Coturnix japonica: one gene and its partners. The protein of the gene in region 2 interacts with the protein of the main gene of each other region in a pairwise test. Links are inferred from orthologs where the notes say so. Each region holds a gene or a part of one and is shown on either strand. Other genes may lie near its edges.

What was found.
Region 1: the proteins of ITSN2 (region 2) and KHDRBS1 interact in a two-hybrid assay, tested with the Homo sapiens proteins (2 studies listed by BioGRID and IntAct, with this or other methods). The link is inferred for Coturnix japonica from reciprocal best matches to the Homo sapiens genes ITSN2 and KHDRBS1.
Region 3: the proteins of ITSN2 (region 2) and LARP6 interact in a two-hybrid assay, tested with the Homo sapiens proteins (2 studies listed by BioGRID, with this or other methods). The link is inferred for Coturnix japonica from reciprocal best matches to the Homo sapiens genes ITSN2 and LARP6.
Region 4: the proteins of ITSN2 (region 2) and SYNJ2 interact in a two-hybrid assay, tested with the Homo sapiens proteins (2 studies listed by BioGRID and IntAct). The link is inferred for Coturnix japonica from reciprocal best matches to the Homo sapiens genes ITSN2 and SYNJ2.
Region 5: the proteins of ITSN2 (region 2) and SOS1 interact in a two-hybrid assay, tested with the Homo sapiens proteins (2 studies listed by BioGRID and IntAct). The link is inferred for Coturnix japonica from reciprocal best matches to the Homo sapiens genes ITSN2 and SOS1.

What each region holds. Positions count from the first base shown.
Region 1 is NC_029538.1:4,465,994-4,470,237, forward strand, and holds the start of KHDRBS1 (KH domain-containing, RNA-binding, signal transduction-associated protein 1), read left to right. Parts: upstream 1-1,440; 5' UTR 1,441-1,529; coding exon 1,530-1,851; intron 1,852-4,117; exon of another isoform or gene 4,118-4,150; coding exon of another isoform or gene 4,151-4,214; intron 4,215-4,244. Other genes in the region: PTP4A2 (protein tyrosine phosphatase type IVA 2), read right to left, coding at 58-569. UniProt on the Homo sapiens protein: Recruited and tyrosine phosphorylated by several receptor systems, for example the T-cell, leptin and insulin receptors. Once phosphorylated, functions as an adapter protein in signal transduction cascades by binding to SH2 and SH3 domain-containing proteins.
Region 2 is NC_029518.1:95,161,017-95,164,534, forward strand, and holds part of ITSN2 (intersectin-2), read right to left. Parts: intron 3,471-3,518; coding exon 3,425-3,470; intron 3,235-3,424; coding exon 3,113-3,234; intron 2,680-3,112; coding exon 2,583-2,679; intron 2,099-2,582; coding exon 1,907-2,098; intron 1-1,906.
Region 3 is NC_029525.1:5,279,603-5,282,129, reverse strand, and holds the end of LARP6 (la-related protein 6), read left to right. Parts: coding exon 1-741; 3' UTR 742-2,009; downstream 2,010-2,527. UniProt on the Homo sapiens protein: Regulates the coordinated translation of type I collagen alpha-1 and alpha-2 mRNAs, CO1A1 and CO1A2. Stabilizes mRNAs through high-affinity binding of a stem-loop structure in their 5' UTR.
Region 4 is NC_029518.1:46,858,834-46,862,351, reverse strand, and holds part of SYNJ2 (synaptojanin-2), read right to left. Parts: coding exon 3,447-3,518; intron 3,041-3,446; coding exon 2,959-3,040; intron 2,731-2,958; coding exon 2,581-2,730; intron 2,478-2,580; coding exon 2,312-2,477; intron 1,049-2,311; coding exon 857-1,048; intron 1-856. UniProt on the Homo sapiens protein: Inositol 5-phosphatase which may be involved in distinct membrane trafficking and signal transduction pathways. May mediate the inhibitory effect of Rac1 on endocytosis.
Region 5 is NC_029518.1:14,475,691-14,479,208, reverse strand, and holds part of SOS1 (son of sevenless homolog 1), read left to right. Parts: coding exon 1-141; intron 142-3,518.

The DNA of each region.
Region 1 (4,244 bases), on a different chromosome or scaffold from region 2:
GCTGCTCTCGGTTCTCCCCCGGCCTCCTCCTCACCCCGGCCCCCCCCGGTTCCTCACCCCGGGCATTGAGCGCGGCGCCGTTCTTCCGAGCGGACCCGGCGCCTCCCACACCGCGGGCCGGGGGGCGCGATGGGGGCAGGAAGGGGCGGCGGCGGCGTTGGGGAGCGGCGGGGCCCGTGACGGGGCTGAGGCTGAACGACCCCCGGTGCGGCCCGAGCGGCGGACACAGCGCACAGCCCCGCCGCCACACGGCTCACACTGCACAGGCCGCTCCCCCCCCGCCCTGCCCCGTGGTACGGCCCGCACGGCGCTGATTGGCACGGCGCGACGCACCCCCGCAACCGGCAGTGGTACGGCCCGCTCCGCCTCAATCCCCCCGCGTGGAAGCGCCCACTCGGTGCCCTCGCGGGGGGATCCCGTGTCTGTCTGTGCCGTGCGAGCGGCGCAGCCTCGCAGCCGTTTTCCGCCACACGAGATGCGGGTTGAGCCCCGTCCCCGAGCCGCGAGGAGCCGCCGCTCTCATCCCTGCGCAGCCGGAGCTCCCCGCACCCTCCCCACGCAGCCGGCATTGGTACGGCCCGACTCTCCCCCTAACCGCCGCCTCCCCCCGCCGCACTTGGACCGGTCCGCCCGCACCACGTGCGCACCCCCCCGCAGAGGGGCGATGGAACAGCCCTCCTGTAACCCCCCCATCCCCTCCTGTCCTGATACGGCAGCTCCGGTTAGACAGCACGGACAGACAGCGAGCCCCGGCCACAGCCCCGGGCAGGGATGCGGTCTCAACCACGTGCCCCGTTAGTTCGGGCCCGGAGCGCCCGCCCTGCAGCTGGAACAAGAGCTGCTGTGTGCTCTGCCCGCAGGAAGCAGCAGCGGGGCCCCTCCCGTCCGTGTGCACAGCGCAGCACGGAGCTGTGCAGCCCAGCAGGTCCGTTCTGTAGCTGAACGAACGCTGTGTGTCAGAGCTCAGTGATTAACAACACGTTGTGTCAGCAGGGAGCAATGGGGATGTGATCGCATCCACATCCGGTGCTCCTGTTAATGCTGGGAGCAGGGATGGCCCTAAAGCAGAGCAGCTCCTATATTCAGCCTATAAAAGCCTATTGCTGCAGCCAGCCCACAGCACACAGTGCTCCGGGCAGAGCAGCACTAAGACATGAGGCCCATATCCCAGGTCCCGGTCCCGCATCGCACCTCCCCGCACCGCCATGTCGGACCCGCAGTGCGCATGCGTAAAGCTCCTTGAGCCTGGCGCCACAGCGCCGCGCACGTGCTGCTCTCCCAATCGCGCGCCCGGCACTGCGCATGCGCACAAGGAGAATGCTTCCTTCTCACGCCGCGCATGCGCCCTGTGAAGCCGAGGGGCTGCGCGACAGCGCATGCGCAGAAGCGCGTGGGGTGGTCGCGCGGGAAGCGCTGTGTGGGGGCGCTGTGAGGGATGGGGCGGTACTTCCGGTCTCCCACTTCCGGTCCCGTCGCTGCGGCTGCTCGGGGTGGCAGCGCCGTTCGGGCCCGTCCCGCTCCGTGCCCGCATGCAGCGCCGCGATGAGTCCAACGCCCGCATGGGCCGCGGGCCGGGGGGACCCGGGGGATCCCGCCAAGGGGGGCCCAACCCGCGGCGGTCTCCCCGGGGCGGGGGGGGCCGTGGGGCCCAGCAGCCGCAGCCGCTGCTGACCGGCGGAGGGGCGGCAGGCTCCTCTGGCTCGCAAGGCCCCGCCGCCGCCTCCCCCGCCCCGCTGCTGACAGGGGGAAACAACAAGATGGAGCCCGAGAACAAATACCTGCCCGAGCTGATGGCCGAGAAGGACAGCCTGGACCCGTCCTTCACTCACGCCATGCAGCTCCTCAGCGCAGGTACCGAGCGGAGCGGGGGGTGGGGATGGAATGTGGCGGCAGCGCGGTACCGAGTGCTGGGAACGGCTCTGTATGAAGCGCTGGGCTGTGTGTGATATGAGCTATAGGGCACCGGGAGCCGAAGGTTCGTTGTACAGGGAGGTTGGCTGCTGTCATCCCTTGGGGGAGGGGTCCGAGCTGAGCGGCCAGATCGTGGGCTGCGATCTGTGCTTTTCCACTCGGTAACACGTCCAGAGCTCGTTCCGTGGTGCTGCTGATCCTCAGTAGTGAATGGGAATGGCAGCCTTTGTTCTGTGCCCGGAGCTGCCTTCTCCTTCCCCATCGCCGCTGTCCAATCGCCTGCCCGCTCTCATTCCTCCCCATCTCCCTCCCCGTGCAGCTGCCGGGGTGGGCTCAGCTGCCTCTGATACCTGGCAATAAAATCGGAGCCTTCAGCATTTCATACAGACTATTCTGCAGACTGACCTTGTGGCTCGGGAGGGTTGTTTTTCCCAGATAAGCGGGACAGCTGGAGCCTAAAAGCAGAGCCTGAGCATTCCACGGGCTGTGGGGATGTGCACTGTACCCTGCTGGGGCTGAGTATAGGCACCATAACAAGGTTGAAGTACTAATTAGGAATGTAGTCAACAGCTGTTTTTAATAAGTACAGCAATTTTAGGAAGAGGCCGTCGTGTTGTGGTTATGCATCGACATTTCCATATCTAAAACATGTGAAATCAGTGAGCTTTAACCCCTGGATGTGCAGCTTGGAGGTGCCATCCTCGCACCCAGCGCTGCAATAGAGCCATGTCAGCTTTCTGACCTCTCATAGGGGTTGGTGAGTTTTGTTCCTGTATTTCAGTGCCACCTGCAGAGCCCACAGCCGGCTTCAAACAGGAACAGCTTCAAATCTTGGCTGCCGCTTGGAGCTTAATATGCGTGCGGTGCTGAGCAGGTGGTGCCAGCACAGGGATAGCAGCACATTGAACCAGCTCCGTGCGCTGCCGTTTGTCATCCTGCTTCCAAATGATTCCTCAGGTCTTTATACTGCTGAATATTGCCATAATTGTCGCAGCGCTCGAGGCTTTTTTAGTTCCTCCTTTAATGTGGGAAATAATTCTTAAGAATTGCTGTCTCCTGTTCTGCAGATAGCTGAGGTACGTCGTCACGGGTAACTTGGCATCATTTGTGGGCACCTCGATCTAAATAAATCAGTTTTATAATCCGATTTGCCATCAGTTTAATGTTTTTCATTAATAAAAGCGTTTAGCCAGCTGATGCTCACAGCTCTGTGCTAATGCCTTCAGTGACATGAGACCTGAGGAGTGTGTTCATTCCCAAAGAAGGAGCAGCGTTCTCAGCCCCCTTTGCCCAGCTTTGTTTGCAGAGCGGTCTAACAAGGATTTATGAGCTTCTCCATTAACTTGGAGTTTGCTCATAGTGAGCTGCAGCTCTGTGAGGTGTCACATTGGAAGAAGGCTGGGTGCTTTTTGCTTGCTTCAGGTATATTGAGAACTGGGGGTTTGGGGAGTGTAAAATGGTGTCTAAAAGTAGCCTTAAAGTAGCCTGAAAGTACCTTTGTAATTCTGGAGCTGTTCAGTGTTTCTAAAGAAAAATCAGCATTGTTTGGGATTGGGATGAAAGGCCACACAGTGATGTAACGCTGATCCTCAGACAATGTACTGTGTGATATGAAGCAGTGAAGGGGGTAGATGGTGGGATTGTGTTACACAGCACCCTGAACAGACGTTGCAAACGGGGATTTTTGCACCTTGGAATATGAGGTTCCTCACTGCCGTGATTCAGGATCTACACCAGCTTCCTTTTCCTTGCTTTCATTCATGCTCTGGCTGCTGTGGCTGCAGGGCTGGAGGTGCTGACATCCCATAGGCACAGTGCTTCCAGGCACTGGGGATAGTCAGGAGGCATCCGGTGCCGTGTCTGTCGGCTGGAGGTGTTTTCCAGGTTCTTGCATTAATCTGAGCTATTTCCATTTCATGGAGATCCTCTCCTTGGACAGAGCTGGCATTTCATCTCTGAGCTTCCTGTGCTTTGTGAGTGAGCTGCCTCTGCTCCGCTCACACCTTTACCTGGAGCATCTTGGAGGTCCTTCATGTTCCCAGGCAGGCGGGATGGTGAGGAGGGCAGAGCACAGGGTGCTGCAGGTCCACGTTTGGTGGTTTTGCTAGGGAAGAGCTCGGGCTGAGATCAGGAGTGGCACTGTGGCTGCTGAGCCTCCTTCCTGCAATGCAGCCGCGTTACCAACCCCCCTTTACCTGCCCCATAGGATTTCTTCTGAGACAAAGCAATCACTGCCCCCATGAAGTCCGGGAAGCCACTGCCACGCATGCTGCCAGCCTGCTGCCATTCCCCGTGGCAAGAAGGTAACCTTCTGCTGCACCTCTGACACGGCC
Region 2 (3,518 bases):
CCCTTGTCAGCATCATTTCTTCTGCCCAGAGAGCTACTGACACAGCTTGAGAGAAGAACTACCTAAGGAGAACCTTGTTAGGGAGGTCTGCCTCATGGGGATGACCAGTGAGCCCCAGGAGTACAAAAGGTGGTCCATATAACAGAGTTTACATTTGAGGGGAAAGCAGAATTGTCACAAGCCTCAAACCTCTGTGAGTAAACCCAATTTGTTCCCATTCAAATACCCTTACATTCAACTGGCCAGGAGAGACAGTGGGAGATGTGTTTGTCAACAGAAGCACTGCAATATTCACGCCAACCAAGTAGGGGTGACACCTGCTCTTCAGTGACTGCTGCTGGCTGGCCCTGTCAATGCAATCTCAAAGGACAACTCTCGTCACACAGCCACAATCCGAAGGCTGAGAACAAGACAACCTAATGATCTATCAGCAAACAAAGAGAAAGACTATCACGTCAAATGTTTCCAATTGCAGTTTGATCTCAGGACTGCTTCTGTTGAAAACTGATGTGCAACCATCCTGCACTCATCACATCCAGCTACTCAAGTCACTGATGTGATAAGCAAAGATCCTCCTCATTTTTGAAAAATTCTGGAGTGTTTAATCACAGAATGGCCTGGGTTGAAAAGGACCACAATGATCATCCAGTTTCAACCCCCTGCTGTGTGCAGGGTCGCCAACCTGCAGACCAGGCTGCCCAGAGCCACATCCAGCCTGGCCTTGAATGCCTGCAGGGATGGGGCATCCACAGCCTCCTTGGGCAACCTGTTCAGTGTGTCACCACCCTCTGGGTGAAAAACTCAGCCAGAACCTTAATTTCATGGCCTGGCTGGATGCAGTCCGTGCTATTTTATCCAAATTGTAAGCAAACAAAAGATTTCTAAAGAAATAGATCAATCTTTAGATGAGCCCAATCAAAAGTTGTTTAGGTTCAGTCTAAATGCAGCATTTTTTGACATCATCAAAAACATTTAGAATACATGAAATAAGAATGCGTTACCTGGAACATTAGCACAGATGTAATTTAACTACAAATAAAACCTGAATAGGGCATTCTAGCCAGGTACGACAGCTACTGGGGGGACAACCCAAGCTGGACCTACATCATCACACCTGGGAATTCTTCTCTAACAACCACACTAAGTTCATCTAATCTCAAGCGCAAGCTGCTCCCACAGACCAGCTGCAGGTTTTTAAGGGTATACCTCAACCAGAATTCCAGATGTATGCTTTTATACTGCAAAAAATGCGCATGATGCCTAGTGGAAAAAACAGCAAGGGAAAGGATGTGGCTTGCTAAGTGAAAGGGACAACTTTCACATCACCTACCCAAACCCTAAATGGGGCTCCGAAAGCCACGAATGTCGCGGGCTGATGGAACGCTGATTTAATTCAAGTGCCCAAGGATGGAAAGCTGAAGGAGGAGTAAGAGCAGAGCTCATTTTCTCTGAGGAAAGCTGACAAAAGAAACGGCAACTAAAAACACCCAAACGGGTGGGTGAGGAACCAGAAACATTTCCTATATTTACATGCAAAAAAAGATCTGACCTTCAGACAGGCAAATGTTCTGGAATTACAGAATATTCCTACAATGAAGCATAATACACCTGCACTGGCTTCTGGTCAGTACAAGCTATCAAACACGAGATAGCTGTACACCAGCTGCTCTTTAGGTGGACACCTACTGGATGTTTTGCTCCAGCTCACCCTCACACTCTCACTACTGCAGTCTGGCTGGTTGGTAATCTGATGGTTATTTGTAGGTTAAATAGAGTAATAAAGTATTTAAAAGAGCATTTAAAATCCCAATAACTTTGGTTGGTGCTCCAAGCTGAAAGCAAAAAAAACAGTAATGCACTTTGGAAAGAAAGAAGCAAAATGGTTTTTAATAAAATAGTTGCTTACACTGCTGACTCGGATCAGAATCTGTGGTCATCTTCACGTAGTTGGAAGGGAAGAGACCTGTCACACCATTGATTTCTCCTTGCCACCAGTCAGCATCATCTTTGCTCAGCACGTTGATGAGCTGCCCTTTGGAGAAGCTGAGCTCGTCTTCATTGTTTGCCATGTAATCATACATTGCTATTACTTGGCACACTACGAAGAAAAAGCAGAGTTAGCAGAATGCTGTGACATGAAGCATTAAGGCAGTTTTTCAGTATTTTGTGTAGATATGGCAAAGAAACAACAACTTCACATCAAGTGCTACAGAAAAACACCAGACATGATCACAGCTTGCTATGGAATCAAATGGCAAGAAGGGGCTTCCAAGCGAGGTGAGTGTGGCTCTGCAACGCAGGCAGAAAAGTTTAAAAGCTTTATAAAGTAGTATAAGGTGGGGCAGGGAGCCCATGAAGGACTGCTGAAAGCAAATGGGAGATTCTCCCTTTTGTGGACAGAAATAATATCTGAATGGACACATATGCCAAAAGACTCGGATTTGGACTAGGACTTCACCTTGTACAGCAAAGCACAGTCAGATAAGGCTATGAAACACAGTGTTAATTCAAATTAGTATGTGAACAAAGTAGTTCAATAATATACTCTAAACGAAATACAAATAAGACCATTTTTTTTTCACCTGAGTGGGCAGCAGATGTGGTTCGCTCGCTGCTCGGACCCAGTAACTTCACATGGCTGGCAGGGAACCATCCTTTCTGTCTCTTTTTCCCTCTTGCCTGTTGAAATGGGTATAATACAGTCAAGAAACAAAACAGCATAAGGACTGGAAAAGCACAACAGATGTATCACACAGTTCTGCCTAAGGAAAACAAAGCTGGTCTTCCAACAGCAATTAAGCACTAAGTATCTCAGAAGGTAAGATCTGACTGAAGGATGAAACAACCAAACTCAAATAAAGCTGCGTCTCGACTTGCTCTGACAAATACGTACATTCAAAGGTTTTAAGAGCAGCTAATCATTTCACAGTAGGGCTGCACATCTGCTCTAAGAAAATTCCACTTGCACATCAATTTAAGAGTCTCTAACGAGGAACTGCAGCTTTCCAAGCAGCTTTCAGTGTGCTCTACTCACTTGTTCATTTCAAGTTAAACCAAAGAACCCCTCAATGCTGCTTGTCAAGTCAGGATTCCTGTTCCTCCAACCACTCACCTGCAGCTCTCCTTGCCACCATCCACTAGCATTTTTCTTCAGGATAAGAATGAGCTGCCCGGGAGCAAGACTAAGTTGTTCACTTCCTGATGCAGCATAAGCAGTAGTTACCTGAGCAATTTCTGAAAAGAAGGGATATTAATTGTCTTTGGTATATTTTCACTACAATAAGAGCTATTTCTAAAGAAGAAAGTTGGTATTTATCTTGCAGGTAAGCACACTGGCAGACCTTAAAACACTTCCATGAACACACGTGCTTTATTAATCACTTCAAACACAGTCCAAAACGTTGAGAAGTTATAATGTACTCACCAGGTTTCTTATTTATTGTTCCAGCTTTGCCAGCATTACTAGAACCCTGTAACAAAGACACAACAATATTCTTTGCATGTTTAATAAAACCAGC
Region 3 (2,527 bases), on a different chromosome or scaffold from region 2:
CGGTATACGCAAATGGGAACACAGGAATGTGCAATTGTAGAATTTGAAGAAGTAGATGCTGCTGTGCAGGCTCATGAATTCATGTGTGCTGAAAAGAAAGAGACTGGCATGAAAGTTGTCCTCATCGGCACGAAACCTCCAAAGAAGAAAGTCCCTAAAGACAAGAACCGTGATGAAGATAACAACAAGAGTCTGAAGAAAGTTAGATCCCTTAACAAGAGAGTTGAGGAACTTCAGTTTACTGGTGACGAATCATCAGCAAATAGCTCTTCTGAGCCAGAGAGTAATCCTACATCACCACTCTCAGGACGCAGAAATACTGTGACAAGTACTACAAGCAAGTTGAGTCCCGTCGTGCACCCAAACAACCATCTGAGTCCTAACGTATCACCCAGATCAAGTCCTTGGAACAGTCCATCCTCTCTAAGGAAAGTGACCAAAAAGTCTCCACTGGCTGAAGACAGCAAACTCAACCTGAGCACTAGTCCTGAAATTCCAAGAAAATGCACAGATTATTCCTCAGACAGCAGCATTACACCGTCTGGTAGTCCTTGGGTACAGAGAAGAAAAGCTCAGACTACAACACAAGAGAAGAGTCCGGTCAGTAGCCCCATGCTAGCTCGGAAAATACAAAATGCAGATGGTCTACCCGTAGGGGTGCTGCGGCTGCCCAGAGGTCCTGATGGCACTAAAGGATTCCACAGTGGCTGTGAAAGAAGGAAAGCCATGAAGAATGAATAAATCCTTCCTTAAAAATAATATCACCATTTAGTCAAGTTCTTTTCTTCAGACCTGGTGAAAGACTGTCACTTTAAGTGACTGAGTTGAGTCAGTATTTAATTTCTAAACATTTTATATTCACACTGAGACTTTATCATTTGTATATTTGTATTTTCACTTCATAGAATCACAGGATAGTTACGATTGGAAGGCATCGCTGTTTGAGCAGGGTCAGCCGCACCAGGTCACTGAGCACCACGCTTGGGTTCTGTGCATCTGCAAGTTCTCTGGGTAACCCAACCCCGGCATTCAAACACACACACAATAAAAAAAAATTGTTTCCATATGTTCAGATAGAATTTCCTGTGTTCAGTTTGTGCCCCTTTTCTTTTTACTATGTAACACTGGGGAGAGCCAGGCTACATCTTCATTCATACTAAAATACATTGTTGAGATCTCCCTGAGCCTTTCCCAGTCTGAACAGCTTCATCTCTCTCATCCTCTCCCATGAGATGCTCCAGTACTTCAGCCATTTACACACTTACCTACTGCAGTTCCCTTATCTGCATTTTTCATGTGTTCGCTTGAAATGCCTGAACACTGAAGCACCATCTGGGATCATTAACACAATGACACTATTTGCAAACCTGAAAAGCAGTTTGCCAATGTTTACTGCTCAGCAGTTGTATTACAATAAGCTTGGTATGAATTCCTCTTAAATCCTAACAAATGTAAGTTTTGAAGACCTTCTGGGTTTGTCTCTAACTGAGCAATGTACTCCAGTGAGCAGCTGCTCCCTGCTTGTCCAAACCTCCCAAGTCACTTGTTTAACAGGACCAAAGCGCTTGCTTTCCCGTGATGTGAAAACTCCAAGCATTGAAGGCTGTTTTGTAAGTTTTATCTCGTGTAATCAGATGGAAATAAACGGAATATTAACTTGGTCTAAATCTGCTGCTTTTTCACTTCAAATGTAAGAGATTCTAGAAATAGTTGCTCAGAACTCACAGTTCATTCAGTAACGCGCCCTCTTCCCCCTGCTTCTAATTTCAGGGGTAGAACTCTGTGCTGTAAATAACTGCAGTAACACGTTGCCAGGACTGACTGGCAGAGATCACCAGTTCTGTGCATCATTGTTCAGCTGCCCACATGTATTTTTCTAATATTTTCCTTTGACTTCACACAAATGGAATCCCCCAAGTTGACTCCTGACTTTGATTACTGGCAAAAGCATTGTAAAATACATAATATATGTTAAAATATACATATATATTATTAAAAATTATGTGGTATTTGGTTGTTGTTTTTGTTTTACTTGTTAAATCAACAGCATATCTGCAAGCTTCTAAGAGACAGGTGAGCACACAGCCATCAGATGAGCAGTTCTCTAACTCTAGCTTATGTATAACCACATCATCTCACGGTGCATCCAGACCAGCCCCACTTCACTAATAACCTGTCACCATGAACCTGTGCAGCAGCCACGTGTCACCACGTGCCAGCCTGCTTTTATCAGGACTACAACTGATACGGGGCCATGTTTTGGAGACACCCAGAAATCAATTAAGCAGAAATACTGGGAAGTGTACATAATATTTCATTAGGTTAAAATTCCCAGAGGTACTGGATGTTTGCATGAGAGAAAAAGGCTGGATGCAGTAACTGTACAGCACTGTACCTCGTGATCATTCTATTGTTTACACCAAATTTATATTAAAAAAAAGTCCAAGACAGAAGAAGTCCATACAGCTGCTGCGTTGTATCTGTACTCAGGATTCCTTGCAGGGCCCAGAGTTTCCTCATGTAACTA
Region 4 (3,518 bases), about 48 Mb from region 2:
TCTTACTGCCAATACCAATTAGTCCTGTTCCTCCAGTTTATTTAGGTGAAAGTCTGGCAGGAACAGCAAATAACAGGCTCTCATCAAATTTTAATATCATGGGAACAGCCATTTGCCAATACAGATAAACTGCTTCTGAACGAGACTGGACCAAGCACTCACCCAAGCTGTTCAGAATATTGTTGTCTGCACTGAACTGCAAATCCATACACTCAAGAGCTAAGAGTTCTGTCTCTGAAACCAGGACAAGTTCAAATAGGACAGCTTATGTAAGTAGCCAAGGATCTGAGGAATTAATTCCTGAGCTTGAAGGGCAGGAACATAAATATCTCTGCGATACCAGCAGAAGGTTAGATATTCCATTGTAACAACAAAAGCACAGATTTTGCCATATCTTTGCAAACACTCATTTTTCAAAAGACAGAACATTCACTTCTCATTTTTCTTAATAAAATCTGGAAATAAATTATAGTAACTGACTTTGTTCAATAGATATGGAATTCAGTGGCTAACTTAAGCAAGCCAGAAACACAGGAACTTTTTATACAGCTAAGGAAAGGCAAGATGAAGAACAAGGATACATTCCAGGAACACCTAAGCATGAAGTTTCTACCCAAAATGAAGAACCAAGAATGGAGAAACTGAGGAACAAAAGAAAACATGGCATGCAGAATAGACTGTAGAGGTCTAAAATGGGGCTGAGTACATCCTTTAGGTTTGGCAGAAAATGCCCTTCAGGATGATGCACTGACTCTGAAAGGAACAGCTAGTCAAACCCGGTGTTCTGACTTGCAGATCCTAGAAATGCAATACCTATTGCAATACCAAAATGCATTTTTTTTCTCTAAAGTCTTACCCTGAAATTCAGAAACTCCAGAGAGCTTTGGAGAATCCAGCAACCAGTCTGTCAGCTCACTGGTACCAAGGATGTTGCTTCGAAACTGCTTCCCTCCATTCACATTCCAGGTCCCCATGGCAACACGAACACGCTTGAAGCTTGTGAATTCAAACTGACGCTCTGACATGGCCTTCAGAATACTTGGAGTTACTGATGGAAGAGAAGAGAGGGAAAGAGCACGTAAAACAAAAATGTGCCATAAAAGCAGAGAAAAAATCCAGAGAGCAGTGACATGTAAGTCACCATGAAATAATGACAGCACCCTAGTAGCAAAAATACAAAAGATAAAGAATATCTCCAGTAGCAGTGGCAATAACTGTAAGGTTATTGAAGCTGATGCTATCAATTTCTCTTCCAGACTCCAAGCATCTTACAAAAGCAGCTGTACTTGTAAGAAGTCAGTCAATCACTTCCAGCATATGTTTTCTAGAACTTCAAGTAACACTGAATGAATTCTTTTCTCCTCCCTTTATCTTTTCAGTTTTGCTTGTACTGAGTATGCCACAAATCATGACTTAAATCCAAGCCCTAACAAATTTAGATGAGGGAAAGGTAGAAAATAGCACAGAGTCCCACATCGTGTCTTCAAAACTAGCACTGTCACAGCTCTCTAGCCTAGTCAGAAGTCCTTAGAGGAAACTGCTACTTTCATTATTTTTGATGAGTATAGACAATTAAGAGTGCATGTTTTTTCATGTGAGTAGCTGTAATAACCTTAATCTTCAGCTACTCAATAGCCAGTAGTCAGATGCAGAGAAGGTATCTACACTGTCCTTGTAGTCCATAAGGGGACACCCTCAGGACTGCAGCAGAGCTGAATGGCTCATATCTACCCTGTTAAAATCCAGTAAGTCTCTGGAGCAAACTGGCAATGTGACACTGCTTGTGGGAGCAGGTTATCCTGTATTCTGCACATGCGTTTTTTCTCAGAGAGAACTAGGTTGGTTGATTCTAGACGGGTGCAAACAGCTATGTATATGTTACGGACTATCAGAGTAAAGCAGAGAACAAATCAGCATAAATGTGCCTTTAAGACCCAAATGGCTAAGAGCACATACAGACTGCAGACTTAAAATAAGCAGATAAAAATGTTGAGCTCAAGAGACTTCCCCAGGACAAAGTGACCAAACCGGGAATACAGCCCTAAAAACCTTCCCTTTCAGTCGATCTCCTCTCAACTATCAAAGAATATCATCAAACAGCAGATAAACACACTGGAAGTCCAAAACAAAATATGAGAAATAAGCACAATGAAATTAAAACAGACAGGATTCTGCTACAGTAGCTTGAAAAAAAAGTGTTTTAAACAACACATGTGCAAGAGTAGTTTTTCTATAAAATGATGCAATTGCTTATAAATGACAGTCAAAACCAGGCAGAAAAAGAAACAGGAAGGGTTTATGCTGGCCTTACCCAGCAGAGCAGTGTTATCCATGAGCATCTTTCCCTTGTCTGCATATTCCTCACTGAAGAAGTCACCCATGAGAAGCAGCTTGATGGCTTCCTGCTTTACTGAATCAAAAAAATTTGACTGAATGGTACGAGAGACAGAGCGGGCTCCATCCTTGAGCTTCCCAACCTACATCAGACCAAGATCATCAGCACAAGAGGCAACGAGGTGTAAATCAGATACCTTTCTTTACAGTCACTTCTGAGTAAACAGCTTTGCTGCTTTTCTTTACCTTGTGCTTTCCTTCAAGGGCACGGCTGCCAGTGAACACTTTGCTCAGATTGTGACCATTGAGAGTCCACATTGCTTTGTACGATTCCACAAAGCGCTCAACTATAGATCTAGAGTTCAACCCAAGGATCTCCAGTTGTGTAAGCAGGATCTGGGTATGGAGGAGGAAGGGAAAAATAAAATAAAATAAAATCACTCTTCTTGAATGTATTTTGCCTTTTCTTCCCAATTTAGTTATTACAGCTAGCACCATTCTATAACACAGAGCTAGCAAGAAAGACTTGTATCAGTGAGGCTTATGTCCCCTTTCTCTTCTTTCCTGTGCAACAGACAACGTATGCAGCATGGGCATCTGTGAAAGGTCCTTTGATAAACTTACCTCCAGTGCAATGAAGGACTGTACGCTGTTAGTACGATCCAGGCAGTCCAAACAATTCATTCGAAAAGTACCTGTCTGCAGGCTTTAGTAATTAAACACAAGAGGAGGGAGGAAGAAAGGTATATTTTAAAAATAACATCTAATCACGGGTTGATTGAACAAGATTGTCAAATATTCAGCTTGAATATACCCGCCCACATTTTGACAGTGCAAGCACACTGTGCACAGTGTATTCCATTACGTATCTAATTACCTGACTATGTCTCCAACACAGTGCTTGCAAATCCATGTGTTGGTAATTTTCCAAATTCTAAACCAAGGAGAGGTATTTAACCCAAATGATCTTGTAGTACCAAGACTACACTTTGTTTCAAATCTGTATTTCGAGATGGTCACACATGCCCATGGTCCAAACACAGCGATGAACTTGGGAAGGTTAGGAGGGTTGGTGCCTGGCTATGCTGGGACATGGGGGCAGGGACACTCACCGTGGACTTACATTGTTGCCCTTTGCAAAGACGCCAAAGTCCTCCCAGTGCAATTTCAGTTGAGGTCTCAGT
Region 5 (3,518 bases), about 81 Mb from region 2:
AGCTTTACAGATTTGCAGAACCTGACTCAGAAGAGAATATTGTGTTTGAAGAAAACATGCAGCCCAAATCCGGAATCCCCATCATCAAGGCAGGAACTGTTGTCAAACTTATTGAGAGGCTGACTTACCACATGTATGCAGGTGAGGCACTTCATAACCAGAACAGGTGATGATTAGTTTATGCTTCTTGTTTTCCTTATTAAGTACAGCAAAATGCAGACTATGTGTGGAAAACAAACATGCTCAGTGGTACATATTCTGAAATGCTTTTTGAGTTAAGGTTTGGAATTCTAAATTTGCACCTCTGTGGCTGCAGCAGCTGGAAATGAATCCAGTTTGACTGACCGTAGTGAGATCTGCACATGTGTCTGGTTACTCTCCTGCATGGGATGGTGGGGGGCAGGATCCAGCAGGAACTGAGCTCCAGACAGCACTTTTTCCTGTAGGCTGCAAGAATTGCCTTCCCTTGAGATTTGTGAGACGAGGTGGCACACACAGCGCTAGCTCTGCAGATGAGAACTGTGTGCTTGGTTTCTTCAGTTAAGGGTTGTACTTTGTAAACTACTACCTATGTCTGTGTTGACATGTAACGCATAGAGCAAATACCAGCTTCCTTAAAGCAGTGGCTTGAGTAGTTTTTACCTTGTCCAAATTTAAGGATTTGAATTATGACATTTACGTAAAGGTTTCTACTTGTGTTGAAGATACATTTGTGTGATGAATGGCATTTATGTGAAAGCGAATGGCTCATCCAGTCCAACCTCAGCATGTGTGTGTAGCGTTTCTGCATAGTTTTCCAGGATTTTTCTAAGCAGTGCTGAAGAACATGGGCTTTTCCCACCCCTCCCCCCCCAGTCTTTTTCATCTTTGATTTTTCCACTACTTTTCCACTATGGGCTGTTATTCTGAACCTGTATTCATCTTGATGTAAGTACTTCTCTTATTCAGCTGTAGTTTTTTTTCTGTCTGTCTATCCTTACTCTGATAAGTAGTTCTGCAGCTCAGTCTCAGAGTCCAGTATGGAACCGGAATGTTTGTTTAGAAGAGGCTTGGAATAAGCAGAATATGATTAGTGTTTTGTAGTACTTCTTTGTTTTATTCTTTAAGTGATTGGAAATCTGTTCACTCTGCTGCTTTTATTGCCCCTCTCTGCACTTCCTTCAGCTTAGCTTTCCTATCACTTATTAGAAACACAAATGCAATATCTTGCTGGCAGTTTTTACCAGAGCAGTTTTGTATCTGACTTCATTTTCTTTTATCAACTTCAAGCCATTGGCATGATCTATGGCATAATTTAGTCTTTTTGGAAGTTAAAGTAGAACAATTCCACTCTGGAGAAAGGAAGAGGATTATTTAAAAAGCTGAAATTGTAATTGGCAGAGAGCTAGCAGGAGGCGTATTCCTTTTAGTGCCCTTGTATGCATTCACTGTACTTTGGGCAGCTTGCATCCCATTGAAGATTGCCCTTTCTGTGTGCAGAGGATTCTTGCTGTACCCCTGGCCTGGTCACCAGTAGCATTCTCTATGCGTTGTCTGTACAGTGAGCTGTGAGCTGTCTTCTGCAGTTCCTTAACACAGCAGGGCCGCCTGTTTTTGAAGAACATATGGCTTGTTGAAATACATCTCTTGTGTTGCTTTTTGCATTTGACACATGGGTTAACCGCATTCAAACAGGTTGTCCTGTGATGAATTCAGTTAATCTTTGTAACCTTAGAGATGTGAGAATGACATACGTGGATCTGATGCTGAATTGCTAAGCTGTACGTCATTTCTCCAAATCCTTATCTTGCATTGTATGCCTTCTTTTTTAGAGCTGGCTTTCTATGGGGGTGAAATGTAGTCGTTTTAGCTGCTCTTTGCTGTCTTTTCCAGGGAAACAAAAGAATAGAGATTTAGTGACTCAGCAAAAAAAGGCTTTTGTACAGGAAATGAGGTCCATTTCCTACATAAATCATTCAGTGTTTTGTTGCATTTTGTGAGATGCAGTGAGGAGGTCAGCCACTTTCCATAGTAACCCTTTTCTTCTGTTTGCGCGCGACTGAGTGCAGAGCTGCTCTTCTGCTCTGAAATGTAGGAAGATGGCTATCCCTGTGGTACGTAGCCACATAGCTGCAGATTGTTGTTGGTTCTTTTTTTGGCCCACAATAGGGCTGTGCATGTGTGATTGGAGTCTTTAAAGAACAGCACTGACTTAGGCTGGAATGGCAGGCTGTGACTTCTCTGGTGTCTGATCTCAGATGCAGTTTGGTTATGCTAGTCCTGGATCTATCCAAAGACTGTTTTGTTTTTGTTTTTTTTTTTTGGAGTAGCTGTGAACCTTTTCTAAGATGTTCTTCTTGTGGCTCACATCCTATAAAGAGTCAATACAGATGGAATTGCAGAGGTTGTGCCAATTTGTTGGAAGTAGCTGAAGTTGAGGTAGTTGGTTATTGAAGTCAGTGGGCACTCAGTTCATGTCTATGCTTTTCTGTCATATGTAAAGATCCATGGGAGGCAGTAGATAGGTGTGTATGACCTTTTGCTTTTCCATCTTCACCTTCAAGATAAGACACAAAACAGCTTTTCAGCAGACTGTTCTGTTTTATTGTAGAATAGAGGCTTCCTGGCAGCTGAGCTGTAACACAGCCACTCTGCTGGGATCCAGGCCCGAGAAGGGAAGGCAGGCAGCCCACATAGTCCTGGGCTGGAGCAGCCAAGCTGGGAAGGAGGCTCCTCAGCACAATAGCTTTCCTTGTATTTCAACCTGAGGGAAGCTGCCCTTCCATTGGAAATTCAGATTCTTGTCCTATTTGCATATTGTGGCGGATTTTACTAGTTTTAATGTGTTCTGCGTTGATTATCTCCTCCTTTTCCTGATACTCACTTAATAGTGGCTAGGCTAGGTGGTACCAAGATTGGAAACTCCGGGCATTTTATTTATCTATAGAGCAGTGCTCTTCTATTTTTAAAGCTTTGATATGTTAAGAGTGCGTGTGCGTCATCATAGTGTCCGTTTCCTTTCTTAAGGAATTCAAGGGTGATTATTTATAAATCCTTGTAGAACAAGTTATTGTTCTTTTTTAGCTGTAAAATGGGCTGTATTGAAGAGAGAATTATCACATGAGCAGACATCCTGACTAACTGGTGTTGTCTGTGTTTTTTTTAACACTTGCTCCTATATTGTGTGCTGTTTTGAGTTGCGGATTTTGCTAGTGAGATAACAAAGCTAGATTTGATTTTCTGATATACTTGATTTGAAATTCAGTATGTACTGTGGATTTAGACGCTGAGTCTACCTGCAAATAACAATAGGCAGGACTCAGAGCTTGCTTCTCTTTCACACAGACAAATACTGTTTAAGGTGGATGAAGTCTACAGAATGCAAGCTGTGAAAATGTGGGTGACTGAGTTTAGTTATGTACTTCGGTTTTAGGACATGAAAAATCATGTGGTTTTGTAGTGAGGATGGAGACAGGGAGGACGTTCTTTATGCAAAGGGATTTGAAGTTTGGCCTTTGAAAAGTGCAGTTTCAAGAAGA